4 linked regions of the Drosophila melanogaster genome follow. The protein of the gene in region 2 interacts with the protein of the main gene of each other region in a pairwise test. Each region holds a gene or a part of one and is shown on either strand. Other genes may lie near its edges.

Evidence for each region.
Region 1: the proteins of Polr3D (region 2) and eco interact in a two-hybrid assay, tested with the Drosophila melanogaster proteins (one large-scale study listed by BioGRID).
Region 3: the proteins of Polr3D (region 2) and Polr3E interact in a two-hybrid assay, tested with the Drosophila melanogaster proteins (one large-scale study listed by BioGRID).
Region 4: the proteins of Polr3D (region 2) and CG6569 interact in a two-hybrid assay, tested with the Drosophila melanogaster proteins (one large-scale study listed by BioGRID).

The regions. Positions count from the first base shown.
Region 1 is NT_037436.4:7,334,813-7,341,182, forward strand, and holds eco (establishment of cohesion), read right to left. Parts: upstream 4,529-6,370; 5' UTR 4,498-4,528; exon of another isoform or gene 4,454-4,497; intron 4,434-4,453; 5' UTR 4,349-4,433; intron 4,230-4,348; 5' UTR 4,080-4,229; coding exon 1,126-4,079; intron 1,064-1,125; coding exon 859-1,063; 3' UTR 630-858; downstream 1-629. Other genes in the region: wrm1 (wurmchen 1), read right to left, coding at 1-23; lark, read left to right, coding at 5,257-5,958, 6,064-6,302. UniProt on the Drosophila melanogaster protein: Acetyltransferase required for the establishment of sister chromatid cohesion and couple the processes of cohesion and DNA replication to ensure that only sister chromatids become paired together.
Region 2 is NT_037436.4:18,107,309-18,111,297, forward strand, and holds Polr3D (RNA polymerase III subunit D), read right to left. Parts: upstream 2,267-3,989; 5' UTR 2,085-2,266; coding exon 1,852-2,084; intron 1,793-1,851; coding exon 1,413-1,792; intron 1,341-1,412; coding exon 1,272-1,340; intron 1,220-1,271; coding exon 654-1,219; 3' UTR 540-653; downstream 1-539. Other genes in the region: mRpS26 (mitochondrial ribosomal protein S26), read left to right, coding at 1-127; mus304 (mutagen-sensitive 304), read left to right, coding at 2,607-3,242, 3,322-3,989.
Region 3 is NT_037436.4:21,030,210-21,034,121, forward strand, and holds Polr3E (RNA polymerase III subunit E), read left to right. Parts: upstream 1-1,615; 5' UTR 1,616-1,679; coding exon 1,680-1,712; exon of another isoform or gene 1,713-1,741; coding exon of another isoform or gene 1,742-1,771; coding exon 1,772-2,842; intron 2,843-2,906; coding exon 2,907-3,263; 3' UTR 3,264-3,350; downstream 3,351-3,912. Other genes in the region: CG10584 (uncharacterized protein), read right to left, coding at 216-1,040; CG10581 (uncharacterized protein), read right to left, coding at 3,351-3,874.
Region 4 is NT_033777.3:21,865,672-21,869,733, forward strand, and holds CG6569 (uncharacterized protein), read right to left. Parts: upstream 2,249-4,062; 5' UTR 2,173-2,248; coding exon 2,138-2,172; exon of another isoform or gene 2,074-2,137; coding exon 1,734-2,073; intron 1,684-1,733; coding exon of another isoform or gene 1,681-1,683; exon of another isoform or gene 1,656-1,680; coding exon of another isoform or gene 1,623-1,655; exon of another isoform or gene 1,594-1,622; coding exon 1,096-1,593; intron 1,039-1,095; coding exon 839-1,038; intron 780-838; coding exon 572-779; 3' UTR 502-571; downstream 1-501. Other genes in the region: lsn (larsen), read left to right, coding at 1-76, 144-290, 354-501; CG31174 (uncharacterized protein), read right to left, coding at 3,119-3,311, 3,368-3,490, 3,548-3,843.

The sequences.
Region 1 (6,370 bases), about 11 Mb from region 2:
CGTTCCTCTTCGATTGTGGACATAGTCTTATAGGGGTGTGGTCACTTGCAAGAGCCTCAATAGCCTGCTGCACAATGCTCAATGGTCTGGAGGGCAGGGGAAGAAGAGTGAGAAAGCGGTTCAACCACCACGCTGCATGCCACTTGCACCCCGAAACCAATTGCCACCGATTCCAATTTGTCACATTGGGCGTGGCGTCACCAAAGTAAACTAACTAGCAGCACCAGCAGCTCCCCACTTAGCAGCTTATATGCGGATTGCACTTACCATTTGCGCGCGATTGGTGGTCACTGAGATTGGCACAAGTCCCATTCAGGTGTGTTACACACTTCTGCTCTTAAATGTTATTAATTTCAGCCACTTTGCTGCTACGAAAACAACGCCCAAAAGCCAGGCTCAGTGTGCTAGTGATGGCACTTTGTGGACTCGCCGCATGGTTGCAAGCGATCGATAACCATTCATCGATCGCAAGTGCAGGTTGTGTAAATTTTTTACTGCATACATTTAGACATTAAGTTATTTGTTAGAATTTAAATATATTAAACAATGTTTATAAACATACAATTTAAAAATTAACGTATGTGCTATTTTTGTAACACCAAATTTACATGTTTTAAAACCCGACACGTAAGATAAACAATATTAATCTATATTTTCAAAATTAATGCGACTCGAAGAAAATATCGTGTTCATTGCGTAAAAACAGGCATATTAAACCACCATTGTAAACATGTTAAATTGCGCGTCTTCGTGCCGCTAGTAACATAATCGCACTTGCTTATCAACTATTACAGGTTTCGAAGCAATCCTAACTCAAAAACAATCCAGCTATTCAATAGCTTCAATAGATTTCCCCGATCACTGGTCGTAGGTGAGGAAGTTATCCAACCCGGTGAACTGGCGTGCCAGAGCCCGACCATCGTCGGTGGGCGTACTGAAGGCAATGCACTCCCTAGCGATCTCTTGACCGAGCACCGTGTGGCACTGGACGACTCGCAGCAGCTTGCTGGCGATCCCGCTGCGTCGCTGCAGCGGAGAAACCCAGATGCGTGAGACGCCGCAGCTGAAAGAAGGCACATTTTAGCCGTTGACAAGGGAAGGGGCATGCAGTAGGGGATGTCTTACCTGGCCGGGTAGCTTTCCTCGCTGAAGTAGTCCGTGCCATCGACCTGGATGAAACGATGGGCCTGCGAGAGGGGCTGCACCAGGCAGAAGCCTACGATCTGCTGCTTGCGCACTGCTATGAAGGCTACAAAGATCTTTGGCACAATGTACGAGGAATAGCCCAGCTCTTTGTCCACCACACCAATGAGATCCCGCAGTCTGTCGAGCCGAGCTGTCGGAGCGCGTTCGTTGATCCGTATGATGCGCCCGTCGCTGGCCCATTCTGGATAAACGGACACAATGTCCTCGTCGATCCAGCCCTTGAAGCGCAGCACATGGATGGAATTGTGGTACTCGCGATGAAGCAGCTCCTCCTCCGGCTCGTGCACGGTGTACACCAATCCGCACTGCTGGCACTGCCGTGCTCCGAAGGCCTTTTGACCAGCATCGATCTGGTACTGATTCGATCCACCCGCCGCCGTTAGCAATCTCATCGATGTATCCGGCCGACGCCGCAACGATTTCTGGACAACGGGCTGTAAGCGTTGAGTGAATATGGGGAAAAGCTTTGGCTGAACTTCCTCTACTGCTGGCGCATCCTGTTTTGGTGCAATGGCCACCGCTGTATTTTCCACTGTTTCCATCTGAGCAAGCTGCGCAGCCTCCTCGCTGTTCACCACCATGTATAAATTGTCCACAATTTGATTGGCCTCGTCCTTGTAGTCATCCGGATTTGCAATAAATATCTCAAAGTTCTTTTCGGTGCAAATATTGTTGCTAATGAGAAACTCTAGTAAAATTTGCTGTTGCTCCACGACATTGGGATCATCGGTTTGGTATGGCAAACGTTGACGGAACTCAGCAAAGGGATCAATTTCCACATCGTTCGCCTCTGGGGCATACTCAATTATATCCGGTAGCGACTCCGTTTCCATGGTCGTCTCCTCCGCATCAATGGGCGTTGCCTGTACCACCGGATTCGCTTCTACAATCTCATCAACCACCGTATCGTCCAGATTCTTTAGGATCGCATCCACAGTCGCCTGCTCGGCGGAAAATATCGTGGCCGACTTGACGCGCACTTGCCGCGGCTTACGGCGTATCGTTTGGACGAGTTCAATCTTGCCCTGGCTGACGCTGGCCCGGATGTTGTCCGTGATTCTCACCTCCATGCAGGTGCTACTACGGCGGCCCGATTTGAAGAACTTTCGTTTGCTTAGATCGGCTGGCTCGGCGGTTGGGGATTTCTGGACCGGCTCGTGGCGAATTATTGGTATGATAGGCTCCACCTCGATGATGGGATCAATGTCTTCGACATCACTAAGATCGGAGAAATCGGCGGAAGTTTCTTGCCATGCGGTTGCTGGCAGATTGTTATTGTTGTTAGCATCGTCGGCTTCAATCACACTCAATGGTTTGGCCATTTTGATCGGGTCCTTGGCATTACGGAGAATCTGGTGGACTTCCTCCACTTTGGCGCGCTCTTCACGCTTGGTGGTGATCAGGTTCTTGAGCCGTTCGTTGCTCAGCGAGTTGAGAATGTTGTCCATATCGGTGGCTGGCAGTCGGTTGGCAAAACCGTGACGCTTGCGTATTTTGTGGTGAACTCCCTTATTAATGCCCAATAGTGGACGGGAGGTTGGCGAGATTTTCGTTGGTTGTTTAAGCGAATTCTTGGATATGGACGGCCGCCTTCTTGACTTTGTGACCGCTTCTCCACTGTGGGAATAGAAGGCCATGGTGGGAATGCTGCTGCTCAGCGTCACCTTGCGCATCTTGCTCTGCGGCGAACCAGAGTCGGCGTCCGCTGAAGGAGCAACCGGGGTGGACGTTTCTGGGTGCTGTCGCTTTTGAGGCTTATGATTGGATGCTTCTTCGTCCGATTCGGGCACTTCGACATCAATCTTCATACTACTTCCTGGGCTTTCTGGCCTTTTTGCTGTGGCAACTTCGGAAGATTTCGCTGTTTTATTGTTGGTGTTTCCTGTGTTTCGTTTTACTGCATCGTCATTTGACTTGAACACTTCTACCGGGGACTTGGATCTGCTTCTGCTGTTTTCTAGCTTAACTGCTGCTGTTTTTTCTTCATCATACGACCTCATGTTCTCATGTAGATGGGCAGCAGCCTTCAGCGTCTTGCAGTTTATATCCGCCGACGTGAAGGGTCTTCGCCTATTCCTGGTTTTTGGACTGATGATTTGCGAGCTCCTTGTTTCACGAACTTCTGTATTCTTCCTGGAGTTCTTACTGCTAGAAGGTTTCTCGTCGTCCGACTGGGACTCTTCAGCTGGGCTCGTTTTCTTCGGTTTAGTTGTATGCACTTGGGCAGTGGTCTTTAGGCTGTGGTTGTGTTTCTTCTTTGATTTTTCTAACATTGATCTTGAATCCTGACCCTTCATTAGCATAGCTGCCACCTTGCTTAGCCTAGTCTGAAAAGATTCTGGCGAGGAGAACGCATCTGGATCCTTTTGCGCACTGAAGGTTCGTGGACTGCGTCTGATGCTATTTCTGGCTCTGGAAGAAGGAGTTCCTTCAGAGGAAGAGGTGGGCGACGACATTGAAGAATCCGCTCGCTTTCTTTGGACCCTCGTCTGACGGGGGCTGCTGTTGCGACTATTGCTGCTGCTGTTGCTATTTAGCCGCATGGTGGCTGTAAACAATTGGGGCAGCTGCTCCGCCGTGGCAGTCATGACTCCGCCACGGGTTTTTTTGTTCTCCTTGTTGGTTTCCGGGCTGCTGTTCGCACTGCTGCTTGACTTGCCGGGGACTGCGGCGAAGAGACTCCTGCCCTTCCTGTTGGCCGCCACATGGGTCTTTAATGGCAAGACACCCAGACTGTCTACGTCCGCATCATCCTCGTCGTCGTTGATTTGGCGCAGCCTGGATCTGGGACTGCCAAACAGTTGCCGCTTGCGCTCCGAAAGGCGCGGAGTGGCCATGCGACTGGGACGCCCACTACCCGTCGGGGTCTCCATGATCGCGCGCAAATCTTTTATTTCGCATTAACTTTGTCCAAATTGTGACTCCTTCGCGCTTTTTTGTAGCTGCCTAGTGTTGGGGGTGGTTGGATCGTTCAGGGTCTCTTCGGTCGTTTGCCAACACATGCCAGATCGTCTATGTTTTTACTGCAATGTTTATATATATTAAATGCATTACATTGTTTTTAAATTTTTTTTACATCAATGTTTATAAAAATCAAATACATTGCAATGTAAATATTTTCTGTTAGTTATAATTTTTTTACCACATTTTACATTTAACATTTTTCTTCGAAGCGATCAAGTCAGCTTGCAGTTTTTCGTAAATTATTTGGACTTATTCTACGATTTCTGTAAAATAAATAAGTAATGTTAATTATATTCTTGATCCAAGACAAAGTATTCAATATAGTACCACTTAACGAGTTACGATCATGATCGCTAGACATTCTATGTTTTCTAATCTTCATATATTTTAAAGATTTCCGTATTATTTTAACTATCCGGTATTTTTACAGAGCTAAGGTGATCATATAACGGGAAAACTCTATCTGGTATTTCCACCCAAGTCAGACTCAGTCACACTCTTCCAGACGTCACACGGTCATATTGCGGACGAAGTGCGAATCGATTTGGAAAAATCTGCTGCTCGGCCTGGAAAGTAGAAAGTATAAAGCTCTGCGTTTATAATTTAATTTGCAGCCAAAGCCCGCTGCCGATCAGGTAAGTTAGCTCCCCCACATTATCCGTACCGCCATTTGAAAGCCACGCCAACGAGAACCGTGAGAAAATGTGAACTCTAGCCGCCGCCATCTTTTTTTATGTATGCGTTAGGCCACAACGCCAATAATGCGATTTAAAACCGAGTTTATTAAGATTACTCGCGCTCCTTGTGCTGCTGCCTTAATGTTTATCCTTTGCTCGTATTGGTTAAAATAGAAAACAATTGCACTGTCTTCTCTCTTCTCTTGAGGTATCGCGTTTGTTCGTCGCCGTTGTCGTCCTCCAACCGCGGTATATACATACAAACATATAGGCAAATATATATAAATATATTTTCGACGCAGCCGCCGCCGCCGCCGCCGCGTAGATATCCATTTTCCGGGATTACCCCACCCAGAGTGATATAAACGATATAACCGTGGACGACCACGCAGCGGAACCCGCTGCCGCCATGCCCGGAGCCGGCACGTTCAAGTTATTCATCGGGAATCTTGACGAGAAGACACAGGCCACCGAGCTGCGTGCACTGTTCGAGAAGTACGGTACCGTCGTCGAGTGCGACGTGGTGAAGAACTATGGCTTCGTTCACATGGAGACGGAGCAGCAGGGTCGCGATGCCATACAGAATCTGAACGGTTATACGCTGAACGAGTTCGCCATCAAGGTGGAGGCGGCCAAGAGCCGGCGGGCGCCCAATACGCCGACCACGAAAATCTTCGTGGGAAATCTAACGGACAAGACGCGGGCGCCGGAGGTGCGGGAACTGTTTCAGAAATACGGCACCGTCGTCGAATGCGACATTGTGCGCAACTATGGTTTTGTCCATCTGGACTGTGTCGGTGATGTGCAGGACGCCATTAAGGAGCTGAACGGTCGCGTTGTCGATGGCCAGCCGCTCAAGGTTCAAGTGTCGACCAGTCGGGTCCGCCCCAAGCCGGGCATGGGCGATCCGGAGCAGTGCTATCGGTGCGGAAGATCCGGGCATTGGTCGAAAGAGTGTCCGCGACTGTACGGCAGTGCCGGAGGCGGACGCGAGCCGCCATCGCCCCTCAGCGCCGGCGGCTACAGAGATCGCATGTACGGTCGTGACCCGTATCCGCCGCCACCACCGCCGCCGCCGTTCCTGCGTGACCGCATCATGGATGGCTTTAGGGTAAATTCAGCATCCATTTGCCCCCCCGATCAAATCATCCATTGTGCCAAGTATTATTCACATTCTGTGCTGCTACTAATCTAAATCTTGTTTTCCCGCCCGCAGGACTATGACTACTATGACCGCCGCTTCGAGGACTCACGCGATCTGTATGAGCGTCGCTATCAGACCTCGCGAATGCGCGACTTCCCACCGCCGCCCATCTCTCGCCGCGAACCCATGCCTCTACCGCCCACCTTAAGCGGCAGCCTGCGCTCCTGCAGCGTTTCTCGTGGATACGACACTATGTTCAGCCGGCGCTCGCCTCCGCCGCCGCGTAGCAGCAATGGAATGAGTCGCTACGGGTAGGTAACCCTGCAAGTGGATGAAATGTCGCACTTTCTTTTCCAAATATGTGTGTACTAAAGTTAAT
Region 2 (3,989 bases):
AGCGTTGGCCAATCCCGTGGACCACAATTTCGCCATCGATATGGCCGGTAATCTTTACCACGGACGAAGCACCTCTCAGCTCCCGGACGCCACTCCCGAACCCAACCAGCAAGTTTTGAGTAATTAATTAATGCAGTGTCTTAGTTTGTTGTTACATTAAAATGCTTTTTATAGGTTTCTAACCAAAGTTGAAAGTCCGTGTTTTTTTTTATTTTTCTGCACAATAAACAACACACTTAAGTATATTTGATTTGCGCAAAAGAATAGGAATTGGATAACCTAGCTATTGTAAAGCGATTTGCTAGAACTAGAATACTTTTCAAATTTTAAGACCGTATTTGAAATTATAATAATCACTTAATTTGAACATATAATATATCAACAATCCATTAACCTAAAAATTAATCTTGGGTCATTGCATTAAGTATTGATGGCTTAATTTACGTTACATATCCCCAAGTTCCAAGCCCATCTTTCTTGGAGTCTCTTTTATGTTCCATATTCGAGTACAATTGTTAATAACCTTTTGAAAAGCATTTGTATTATAAAAATTTCTATATTTAACTTTTATATACGGCATTTAGAATAGGAATAACTTAAGCTTAGGCGCAGCCTATTTACTATATTACATATCTACCATGGGGAAGTGGGTGCTACGTGCCCGGTACTGGATTCGTTCGCTTGGATGCCGCATCCTGCTGCTGGAAAAGGTGCACCCAATCTGGAGTGGCCTTTAGTTTGGCTTGAATGGGTCCCAAGTTGATCATGTTTCCACTACGTTGCTCGCGATTGGCGGTTACAGACATGAGTTCCTGCAGAAAACCCGGATCGAGACCCATATCCAAGTCAAAGCGTGTGTCCCCCAATTGGAGTTTAACGCGACCGGATTTGTACCTCAGAATCTTGCCGATCTGCCCTTCTTCCAGCTGCCGTAGTACACTGCCCTTGGGTCCGTTTGAGCATTTGTCTGCAGGACTTGCTGGTTCCGATTCACTGGTGGCCTGATGATCTCCTTTAGACGGTTCCGGATCTTCGGAATCGTCGCCCACACATGGCAACACATCTGGCAGTTGCATGAGAAAGATCTGCGCTTCGCTGGAGTCCAGAAAGTTACCAATGGTGCGTGGGTAGCGACCGTACTGCAGCGGAGGTTCCTCTAAACTGGCTGCCTGGGCAGCCACATGCAGCTGTTGCAAATGCTGGGCCACTGCCAAAGTGTCTAGGAGCGAAATCAAATTAGATTATGCCATTTTTAAAGCTTAGCGCCTTACCCTTAAGTGTTGAGGTTGAACTGGCGATTTCTTGCTTCGCAATCGGTGTCTTCTGGGTGACCCAGAGTCCTAACGTTTATAAACAAATAAAGCATGAATTTCTTCTGCCCGTGTGCATCAAAAAGTGCTTGTAAAACGTACCCTCTTTTAGCAGGATGGGCCTGAGTGCCATCTCAGTCTTGTTAGCCTCCTCTTCGCTGAGCTCGCCGCCACTGGCGTCCGACTCGCCCAAGAGCTCCTTGATCCGCTCGGCCTGGCTCTTGTCGTCCTTGCGATCCACCCGTTTCCTGGTCACGGACACCTCCTCACCGCCCCGTGCATATGCCGTTCCATTTCCTGTGGACCTTCGCACATGAACATCGCCTGCTCCTTCGGAGAAGAGTCCCTGGGTTTGGATGAGCGTGGAGTTGCCCCCGCCAGCGGAATTTCCACCTCGACCACGTGTTGCTCCAGTGCCGTTGCCACGTCCACCTCTGCGGCCGCTCCTTGGCTGCGTGGTGTCCTTGGATGTCTTGACATTGCTGTGAATCAAATGAGATGATGAAAAGAATGACTCCCCCTGGGCCATTCCACAACTCACGCATTTTTATTGCGCACAGCATTCAAATTGGGAGCAAAGACCTTTTTGCTGGCTGTCCCAGCGCCGCGCCCACCAAGGGTCAAGTCGCGGGCGGGGGTCAGCCTGGTCATTCCGTTTAGCGTCTCCAGTGGGCGTGCACCGCCACCAGACTGACCATTATTCGTGGTGGACCCACTGGCTCCACTGATGGTCGAAGCTGCTGCTGTGGTGACCGTCATCCTCTTCGCTGGCATGGCGTTCCATTCGCGCCGCCCGTCACCTCGAAAATTCGACCGAAGTCGCTGGGTTCTGGTTTCCCCGTAAGTCCTTTAGTTTTGGGCTAGAATTTCCGCAGAATTCTTTGATTTTCCTTTGAGGTTAATGGGAAAGCTGAGTCGATACACCACATGCCGATACACCGCAGTCGATAGACTTGAGTGTAGCCAGATGACTTTGGTTTTGCTCAATATTAATCGGATTTTGAAACTGTGATTGTAGCGGGTTTCTATCGGCGCTTAAAAAAAACCAGCATAATAACAAAGAGCGATATTACAAAACTGGCTTTTTGTTGCAGTAAATCCTAATGTAGTATTTTTCTATGCAACATGGATTCGAAACATAATCTCTATTTTGGTTGGGCAAATCCATCGTTGCGATCAAATCCATCTGGCAACGCTAGTTGAGCTCTACATTTTATAAACAAAGCAAACCGGCAAAATAATCTACGACTTTCCATGGCCAAAAAGTAACGAAATATAGCGGAAACTGGAGGAACCATGGCCAAGCGCTTTTCTGCCATGAAAGACTTCGCGCGGTGCAAGAAACCGCGCCTGGATGTTAGCGTTACCCGCGGATCAGCGCGACCCAGTCCACCGAGGAACAATTTCGATGGGATTCTCTGGGACGACGATGACGATGTCATCCTGATGGCCACCCAGCTGGCGGAGGCGGAAATCGAGGCGGAGGAGCGGAAAAAGAAGGGCGGAACAGAGGTGGACATCGGCAACAGCGAGGTCACCTTCAGCGAATTTGCACCCACTTTTCAGGGCTCAACCAGCACACAGCAAATGTTTCCGCCGCCACCGCCGCCACAAAAGAAGCCTACTTCCCTGGATATGGATGCGATTTTCGCGGATGATGATGATTTCGATTTTCTGGCCGTTACCCTCATGGACAGTGAGCCACAAAAGATGCCGGAGCCGAAGACCAGCACAAGTAGGATAACTACCAGCAGCATAAGTGTTCAGCAGAAAACCACGACCACGACGACCATCAATGCCACGCAATCCCGCCAGCAGGAGCATCAGCTAAAGTTTCTCATGGATAGGATTGAAGCCCTTAAGCGGGAAAACGCGCAGCTGGAAAAGAATTTGGGCGACAGTAAGGAACGCAATGAGATCAAGTCTGGTGAGGTAGGTGGACATCGGGGTGGAACTATAACACCGATTCTAGACCTTACAGAAACTAATCCATTTATATTTATTTCTCTAGGTTTCCTTACTTCGTGATGAGCTGAAGCACTTGCGCCAGCAGCTGCAGGCTAGCAAAATGGAAAAGCTGGCTTTGGCCGACGAAACGAATCGGGATTGCAACAAAAAAGTGGCAGAAGCGGCCAAACAAATTGCGGCCAAGGACATCGAGTTGAAGATTAAGAACGCCGAGTTCTCAAAGTTGAAGACACAGCAAAAAGCCCATGAAAGAAGCATGAATTCCAGCATGAGCATTTTACAGGCTGCTCCAGATCCTTTGGAGAAACGCTTATCACTTCGCTTGAATAGGCTTAACATACACAGATCTGTGCCCGGGCTGAAAACCGATAATGGCAGTGTGTTCGAATACAGCGAAAATGAGGATCAGACTAAGAAACGAAGAAATCATTTTGAACTGGAATTAAAGCAACTGCTACTTCATTACGCTCGGCTGCAGGCAAAGCCGGAATCTGTGGATAACCTCCTGCCAAGAATACTCTCGTCGGTCGGCAAGGTATTCACGGAGTTTGCTTCGTATGCTCAAAGTTTGGACTTTCCACACAACTGCATGCTGTATCCCTACAATCCCCACAACCTAGAGGAGGAAGTTCATCGCATTTCCCTGACCCATCAGAGCTGTTTGTATGATAACGAAAAGGCTGTTCCGCTGCGTCGCTTCATAGCTACCTT
Region 3 (3,912 bases), 2.9 Mb from region 2:
GATTTTTTTCGCAGCCTTGAAATACAAGGCAAGAGTCCCAATTTGCAGCCAATAATTTTCCAAAAAAAATATCGTCACAATCAATGTTATTAGTTTAATTCCGGTGATATCTCAACCTAACGTAACAAAGCCATAATTTAACTAAATTATTAAGGTACATCGAGGGGCCATTTGAATCTAAGAAGCGGAACGTCTTTATGTGTGATTTACGCATTTTAACGACTGATGATCTTCATCAGAACCAGTTGCTTGCAGCGATCGTACTCGAAATACTGGGGGAAATCCAGAGGCAGGTGCTCCATGATCCACGGCTTGTTCACCGTCTGCCGGATGAGGTACTCATACATGGGAGCCACCGAATCGCAATCCTCCAGTGTGAACACATAGCGCTTCTCCAGTGCCATGTATATCGTTTTGGGTCTCCCAGTTTGGCGACCTCGATCCAGGAGGTTATCCAAGACGCAGATGAAGGCATCGGTTAGCGTATCACAGTAGATGACATCGGCAGCTAGGATTATATCGCTATTGTCTATGGCCTCCAGCAGATCCTGCGAGTGATCCTCTTTTGAGGCGAGAAAATCAAACTCCAGAACTGATATCGTAGCGCGGAGGAGTTTTGAATTTCTTTGGACATTGCCGCGGATCAGCTTCAGTATGCATCCCAGGTCCACATCCGTGCAATAGATCCTTCCGTTATTGTGTATTCCGGCGGCAATGCTGGTCAGGCCGACACCAGCTCCCAGTTCCATTAGGGTTTTCTGGGAAAACTCATCCTTTTTGGAGAAAAGGTAGTCTGCCAGAAGAAGGGCTCCTCGCCACACCTGCAAGCCCACCAGCCGGAGCTCCGTGGCCTCGGAATGTTCCAATTCGATCACGCCACGTTTCGGCCTTGGCACCTCAAGGTCGCCGTCTTTATCCGTCCTAATCCCCGCCAGCTTCTCCTCCGGATAGACGAAACGGAACTTCGACAACACCTTACCTCCATCGCGGGTCGTCTGGTAGTTGTTCTCTCCGTAGATCTCCGACGTGACCGTGAACATGATCCGGTTATGTATGCGGCCAAGAGCATAGGGTATATGAATTTAATGCTGCGGTCGGTCGAGACATCTTCCCCGGGCGTCGTGGTCGATTACAAAATCGGTATCGCCAATCGGTAGGCGGAAATTGTGTTTGCATTCTGTCTTTGCACAGTGGATGGGGACACATATATTTTAATAATTTGAAATTATTTAAATTTAGTGTTTATTATTTATGCACCGAAGAACTTTTGAAAATGTTTAATATAAACTATAAACTCGTTTCGCTTAATTTAAGGCAAGCATATATAATCACAGTACTTAATCGTATCTCACGGCTAAGTTCTAATAATTTGTGCACATCTTAAGATTAGAACCAGAGCTCTATATACATATATGTATTGAAATTATTTATTATATTTAATATACAACTTAGTCTTCTTAAAAGGGAATCACTTTAAATTACTATGACTTTTTGATGTTTTTCATAGTGAAAATGTATTATTCAATCTCGAGCCTAATGAGAGATAGTTCGAGTGATTGTATACCACTGTGCCGATCAGCTGTTTGCAGAGCTGGCTACCGAAGGAAGGCAACCTGGTCACACTGGATATTTAGGCGTGCACCGTCGGCAGACAAAACTATCAAATCGAAATTTAAATTATGGAAGACGAGGACGATCCCGTCGTGGAGGAGGTGAGTATGTGAGTGGCACTATTATTACCATGAGAACAATGCCCGCCCATCCCCACCAGATTCCCGTATTCCTGTCGAAGAACCTGAGGGACAGCCTGTATCTCTTTCAATACCCCACGAAAACGGAGCTCCCCAACCACGATGACTCCGTGATTGTCAATTGTTGTGTAAAACCAATCGCCCAGGAGGTGAAGGTGGACTTCGGCCTGGACATTGAGTCGGCCCACTTCGATCGCTTCAAGGGCGAGCAATTTGCGGTGGCCGCCGACGGAAAGAACACCTATGGAGCAGTTCCACCAAAGGGTCAGGAGCGACCCACCTACAAACGTGGCATCATGGACAAACAGGCCTTCACAAGCTCGCGTTCCATAACCGATGTGGCCAAGTACATAGTGGGCATCTTTACGGATCGGGAGGTGCATCTGTCGCCACTTACATCCATAGTCCAAATGCGACCCGTTCTCAGTCACTTCGATAAGGACGACAAGCGCAAGAAGGCGGAACTGAAGGCTCAAACGGAGGACACGGACGATGACGAGGTGCTGCAGCAGGTCACGGTTAAATTTGCACGAGGAAATGCCAAAAACAGCGGAAAGGAGCAACGTGTCGGCACCTACGACAGTTTCGTCCAGCGAATTGCGGATGAGCCGTGGTGCGAGGCCTACTGGCACTCGAGGGGCACGCCCACCGCCGAACTGGAGCGCCAGAAGCTCTTTGCCACCAGTCATCACGGCAGTTCCTCTTTGGCTCTCGCTCCTGACGAATATCTTCGAAAGCTTCTGCCCTACGACGAGCATGTGCAGACGGTAGCCCCAGCAGCTGCTTCTGCTGCCGCCCAAGTACTTCCCGTCTACAACAAGGCCATGCTTAAGTCTATGCCGCTGCTGGAACAGCTTACAGTGCTACTGAGAGATGCGCGGATGCTCTCGTTCAGCGACGTCATTAGTATTCTCGCGGAGCACGTGGATCCGCATGTGGCTGCCGACAAGGTGCTGGCTTTGCTGCCCCAGGTGGGCATCCTACTGCACGGCAACTGGGTGCCGAAATCCGAGGTGGTCTTTCCCGAGAAGGTGCTTTCCCATGCGAACGGTGTGTCCGCAGAGCAGATGATTCGCGCCAGAGATTATATAGTGAGTTATAGTATGGGTGTAGCGATCACTTATCTTGTACTAATCTCCTCAAATCCATCCGCAGCTCTTTCGTTTCTCCCGCACGCCCTACCTGTTCCGAGCTCAGGTAATGGCCGCCACCCAGTTACCTCCTGCGGAAACACTTGACGTTTTGAAGACTGTGGCCCGGGTGAATAACACAAAACGGTGGGAGCTGCTACTGCCACCCGACAAGGAGTTCGAGCAAAAGTACCCGGAACTGGTCAGCCGACAGGAGTACCACTGGACCGCTTCCGAGCAGCACTACAATGAAATGGACTGGGCTAGGGAAACCAAACGTGTTCGGAAACGTTCGACGAGGAAGAGCGAATCCCAGTCACTGACTTCAGCCATGCCGCCGCCCGCAATGAATCACTCAACAACTGGCTCCGTGGATGCGTAGCATCGGATGATGATCTCCCAGCGGCGGAGAATCGGCAGCACGATTATACATCTAGGCACTATTAAAAAGACCAACAATTTTACTTTGTTAAAGAAGTGCTTTTGTAATCTCTTCTGTAATCTCTCCAGCCAAGGCGTTCCTATTGAATTTGGTCACCTGGTAAATCTTGGATCCTGCTGACTTTCTCAGCTGCTCCACCAAAGCCAATGTTGATTTCTCGGGTATGGTGACCAATAGGGCCCGCTTTTTCTTCAGGAGATCAGCCATGGCCGACTCAAATCGCTTGCTAAGCAGCTCCATTTTGCCCACTTCATCCACGACCAGGAGATCCGGCTCTGGTTGGGAATCCTGTGTGCCAAGTACTGGCAGAGCGAGACTGTCGAAGTCCTGCACAAACACCGAATACTCTCCCACTTTGGGTCGTCGCAGCTGGTCCCCGGGATTCTTGCGAGATAGGATTGCTCGTTTTCCGGCTAACGTGACCACGTCGAAGCCGATTCTTTGGCTGGTGCCCTCACCTCGCATTTCCTCTGTGTAGAATCCTTGAAGAATGCGTCCTCTATCCTGCAGAGCCGAGCATATTTTGTGGACCAGTGTAGTTTTACCCACTCCTGAAAATCATGATTACATACATAATAAACAAATAGCA
Region 4 (4,062 bases), on a different chromosome or scaffold from region 2:
AGAGTTCAGTGCACCAGGAGATCACCAAGGAGGACATCCTAATGGCCGCTAAGAAATTGAGCATTTTTGGCAACGGGTATGGGTCATTACCTCTGCTTGCATTCAATATCACAAGTTTCTCGTTTTCCATAACGTACCTTCAGCTTTGTGGTTCACAAGCTGGGCAAGGGCAAGTACATAGTTCAGTCCATTCCCGGAGAGCTGAGCATGGAGGAGACCAACATACTGAATGCCGCATCCAATACCGAACAAGGCTGTGTTACGCAGAGTCAGCTGATCAAGGATTTGGGGTAAGAATTTCACTTGTACTTTCAACTGAATATCCCTTTGATTTCCGTGTTATCCGTTCTCAGCTGGACCGACTATCGTGCTCAACAGTCACTGGACAAGGTGCTCGGCGAAGGTCTCTGTTGGATTGACAAGCAGGCGGGCGATGAGCCAGCCTATTGGTTTCCCAGTTTGTTTCCCGGTCGAAACGCACAGACAACGGCCGCCACATAGTGTGATCTCGTAGAACTAATTTATTATGTACGAGAGTTATCATAAAATATATATTTGTACAACCGTAAAATCAGCGTGAAGTCTGCTTGGAGCTATCGCCTGCGGCACCGCTCTTAAGCAGTTCGTTTTCCGCCAGCAGCACGGAGTTCTCCTCCCTTAACTTGTAAATTTCCGATTCGAAGCGTTGCGTGATGTCCTCCATGCCCTCGCGGTATTTCTCCTTCATTTTCTTGTGATCCATTATGCAGCGATCCATTTGAGACTTATAGTACATTTTTCTAAAAGCGTTATGATTTATAATCATGTTTGTCATTAATTGTCTATGTTGTATACTCACATCCTGGCATCTTCGGCATCCCCACCGTAAGCTTCAGTAACGGATCGCTCCAGTTCGCCAAGTCGCCGGCAAGTTGCCTCCAACTCGGCCTCCAGCTTATCGTTCTGCTTCAGCACCTCCTTGTACTTTTGCTCCAGGCGATTGCTCCGGGTCTCCAGCATGTGCACCACCGACTTATGATCGACAGCCAGTTTTTTCAGCTAAAATTTGTAAGTGTAACTATAAGTGATAATTATTATACGAATATAGACTTTTACCTTCTCCTTTATGGTGGTAATTATAATGTCCTTTTGCTTGAGCATATTCTTCAGATGGCCCACTTCAACGTCGACGCGTGTGGAGGCCTCATCCATTATGGTACCGATATTGGAGGCTAGGTGGGTCATCTCCTCCTTGTAGGTCTCGGCCAGCTTTGTGGCATCTATTTTCTCCTTGTTTGCCTCTTCGCTGAGTATGATAGCCTCCTCGAGCTTGCGCATGGCGGCGGTTTCCCGTCTTGTGCTCTCCATGAGCAAATTGTGGGTGTGGCTCAGCGATAGTTCGTACTCCTTAAGCTGCTTCTGCAGGATGGACACCTTGGATTGACTCTGCTCGCTATCCTGCAGTTGAGCATGCAGCTGCTGGAGTTGCAATCCGCTGTGCTGCTTGTGATCGTGCAGGGCCTTTATGGTCTCCGCCTGCGTGCGTATCTCCTTCTGCTGGTCCTCAACTTTTGCCTCCAGCACTTTGACGATCTTCGAGTACCGCTGTATGACCTAAAATTGAATTCCGAAAACGTTGAAGTTTACTTTAGGATTTTTCCATTAGTCTCTGGTCCCTAAAACATACGATTTGGTCAAAGCTTACTATAATATGATAATCAATACGGGATTGGAATGATGAAGTGCAATAATACCTGGTCATCTCCAGACATTTTCAATTGGACGCGATAATTCTTAAGATCCATCTCCATGGTTTCGATGGTCTGTTTGGAGAGGTCATGCATGGTTTTCAGGCTGTTCCGTTCCTTGATAAGCTCATCCACCTGCTTCTTGGACGCGTCCAAAGCCTTGTTGCTGAGTTGAAGGCGATGCTTGAGCTCCTGGTAATCGCCGCTAACCAAGATGCTCCTGCATTTGGCCAATTCGATGTCCAGCCGGCGGTTCTCATTTAGAATTTCGTTGAGGTGAACCTTCAGTTCGGCCTGATCCCGCATCAGTCGATCCACTCCTTCACACATTTCCAGCACAAAGTTGCTAAATGGTGAATTGGCTGCGCGTTGACTAACTTTAGTTGACAAATTTTCCTTTGCTCTCCTACCTGAGAATGGCTTGCTGATTTTCGTGTTGTGTCATATTTGTTGTGTGTTTGGAATCATATTATTTTTCACAGCAGAGTTGTGTATCGGGTTTATTGTGTGTTTGTATAGAATTTCATCAATGAACCAAACAAAATGTTTATGTTTGACATGAGACGAGTTTCTGCGATGAAGCAAGCTTTGTCTTTTAAATTATCAGGCATTTAAAATCCTGTTGAAGGCAGTTTGGCTTAGAAATCCATCCGTATCCCCGCGTGCAGCAAGGAGTTCTCTGTATTTCACCGATTTTATGCAACTGGCAACCTTTTGCTGCCCCTCGTCAATCTCTGACAGCCAGCCGCTACCCTTCAAGCAGGTACATATGGATACGGTCTTACTAGCCATTAAAAACCTGGCACGAGTCCTGCCGCGAACGCTGATCCCCTGACAAGTGTCTGTTGTCCTGGGCAACGGGGCAGTGGCAAACAAATGGGGATGTAATCGAAATGTGGTCAACTTTCCGTTTCAGTTGTTTGCAATGCCGCTCTTCAACAAGAAGTTCGAGTCGAAGCCGATTCCAGTGCGTCAGGGACGTTGCAATATAGGACATCCGGTGGCCACCGAGGATCTGGATGACTTCCGCCAGATTTCCCTAACGCTGGGCAACAAGGAGCTGCGTTTTGCGGACGGCATCTGGATGCATTCGACCCGAAAGGGTGACGTAGATGATATGCTCCGGCTGAACAAGAAGTTTCGTGCCCTCGAGGAGGAGAACAATATGTGTAATCTTAAGATCGAGGTGATGCTGGATCTGCTGGCCGAGCGCGACGGAACTAAGTGAGCTGAAGCCAAAGGAAAAGTGATAAAAAAGCTGTATAAAATAAACAAAATATTTGATATACTGAATATTTTTTATTGTCAAATGTTAAAACCCAAGAAACTACATAAATACGTTTTGATTTCACTAATAAAATGCTAAAATCTTAAAAATTCCTAAGCGATGACTAAGGCTGATGAGTGTTTGAGTTATTGGTGGAATCATTCTCGGAATTTACCCACTTAGAGTGGACCTTACTAAGTCGCGAGTACTCAGCTTCATACTGTTGCATTAGATCATCCATGTCTCTCTTGAAGGAAACCATAATTTCTTCCTGCACACCTTTGTACATTTCCACTTGATCCTTGTGAAGTTTTCTTCTATAAATGCCAATAAAGTTAAGTAAATGCTATCATAAATAAAGTTATGATCTCACAATTCAGCTTGTTGTTCCTCCATATCGGGATTGGATTCAATGGCCGATTGTTTCACTCTAGCTTCAAGGTTTTCATCCAGCTTCAAAGCTTCCATATATTTCTGCTTCAAGCGTTCCTTTTTTCTGTGTTAAAAAAAAATGTTCATGTAAATATTATACGTAAATGATTTAGGATCATACAGCAAAATTTGAACTTCTTTATTGGGATCATCAACAGAGCATTCCACCTTGATCTCAGGTTCCATATGCATCACAAAATCTTCATCGAATTTAACACTGTTTTCAATCTTGGGATGGGATTTAGAAATGTTTTGATAAAGCTGGCAGGTATTCTGCATAAAGTAGGTACAGTTTTGATTTCGCTCAGGTTCTCTTTTGAATCCCACCATTGTTGGGGTTAATGATTTTGCAGCCTCATCTATAAAGTTCTTGGATTTAATGCTCAAATTTGCGATGACATCGTTCAAGTCGTCCATATCGTCCTGATTCTGAACCAAAACCTAAAACTTTATATCCTTGGCTTTAAGACCAATAACTCGATAAATTTATACTGAATTAAATGGTGATAGTAAACTAAATGCAAAGGGAACATGTTTCCATTTGTTTCTCGATCACAAAGTAAATCAGTTCGAGTAATAAGCGCATTTGTTTATTTATCGTAAATACCATAAATTTATTTTTACCCAAAGTAAGCT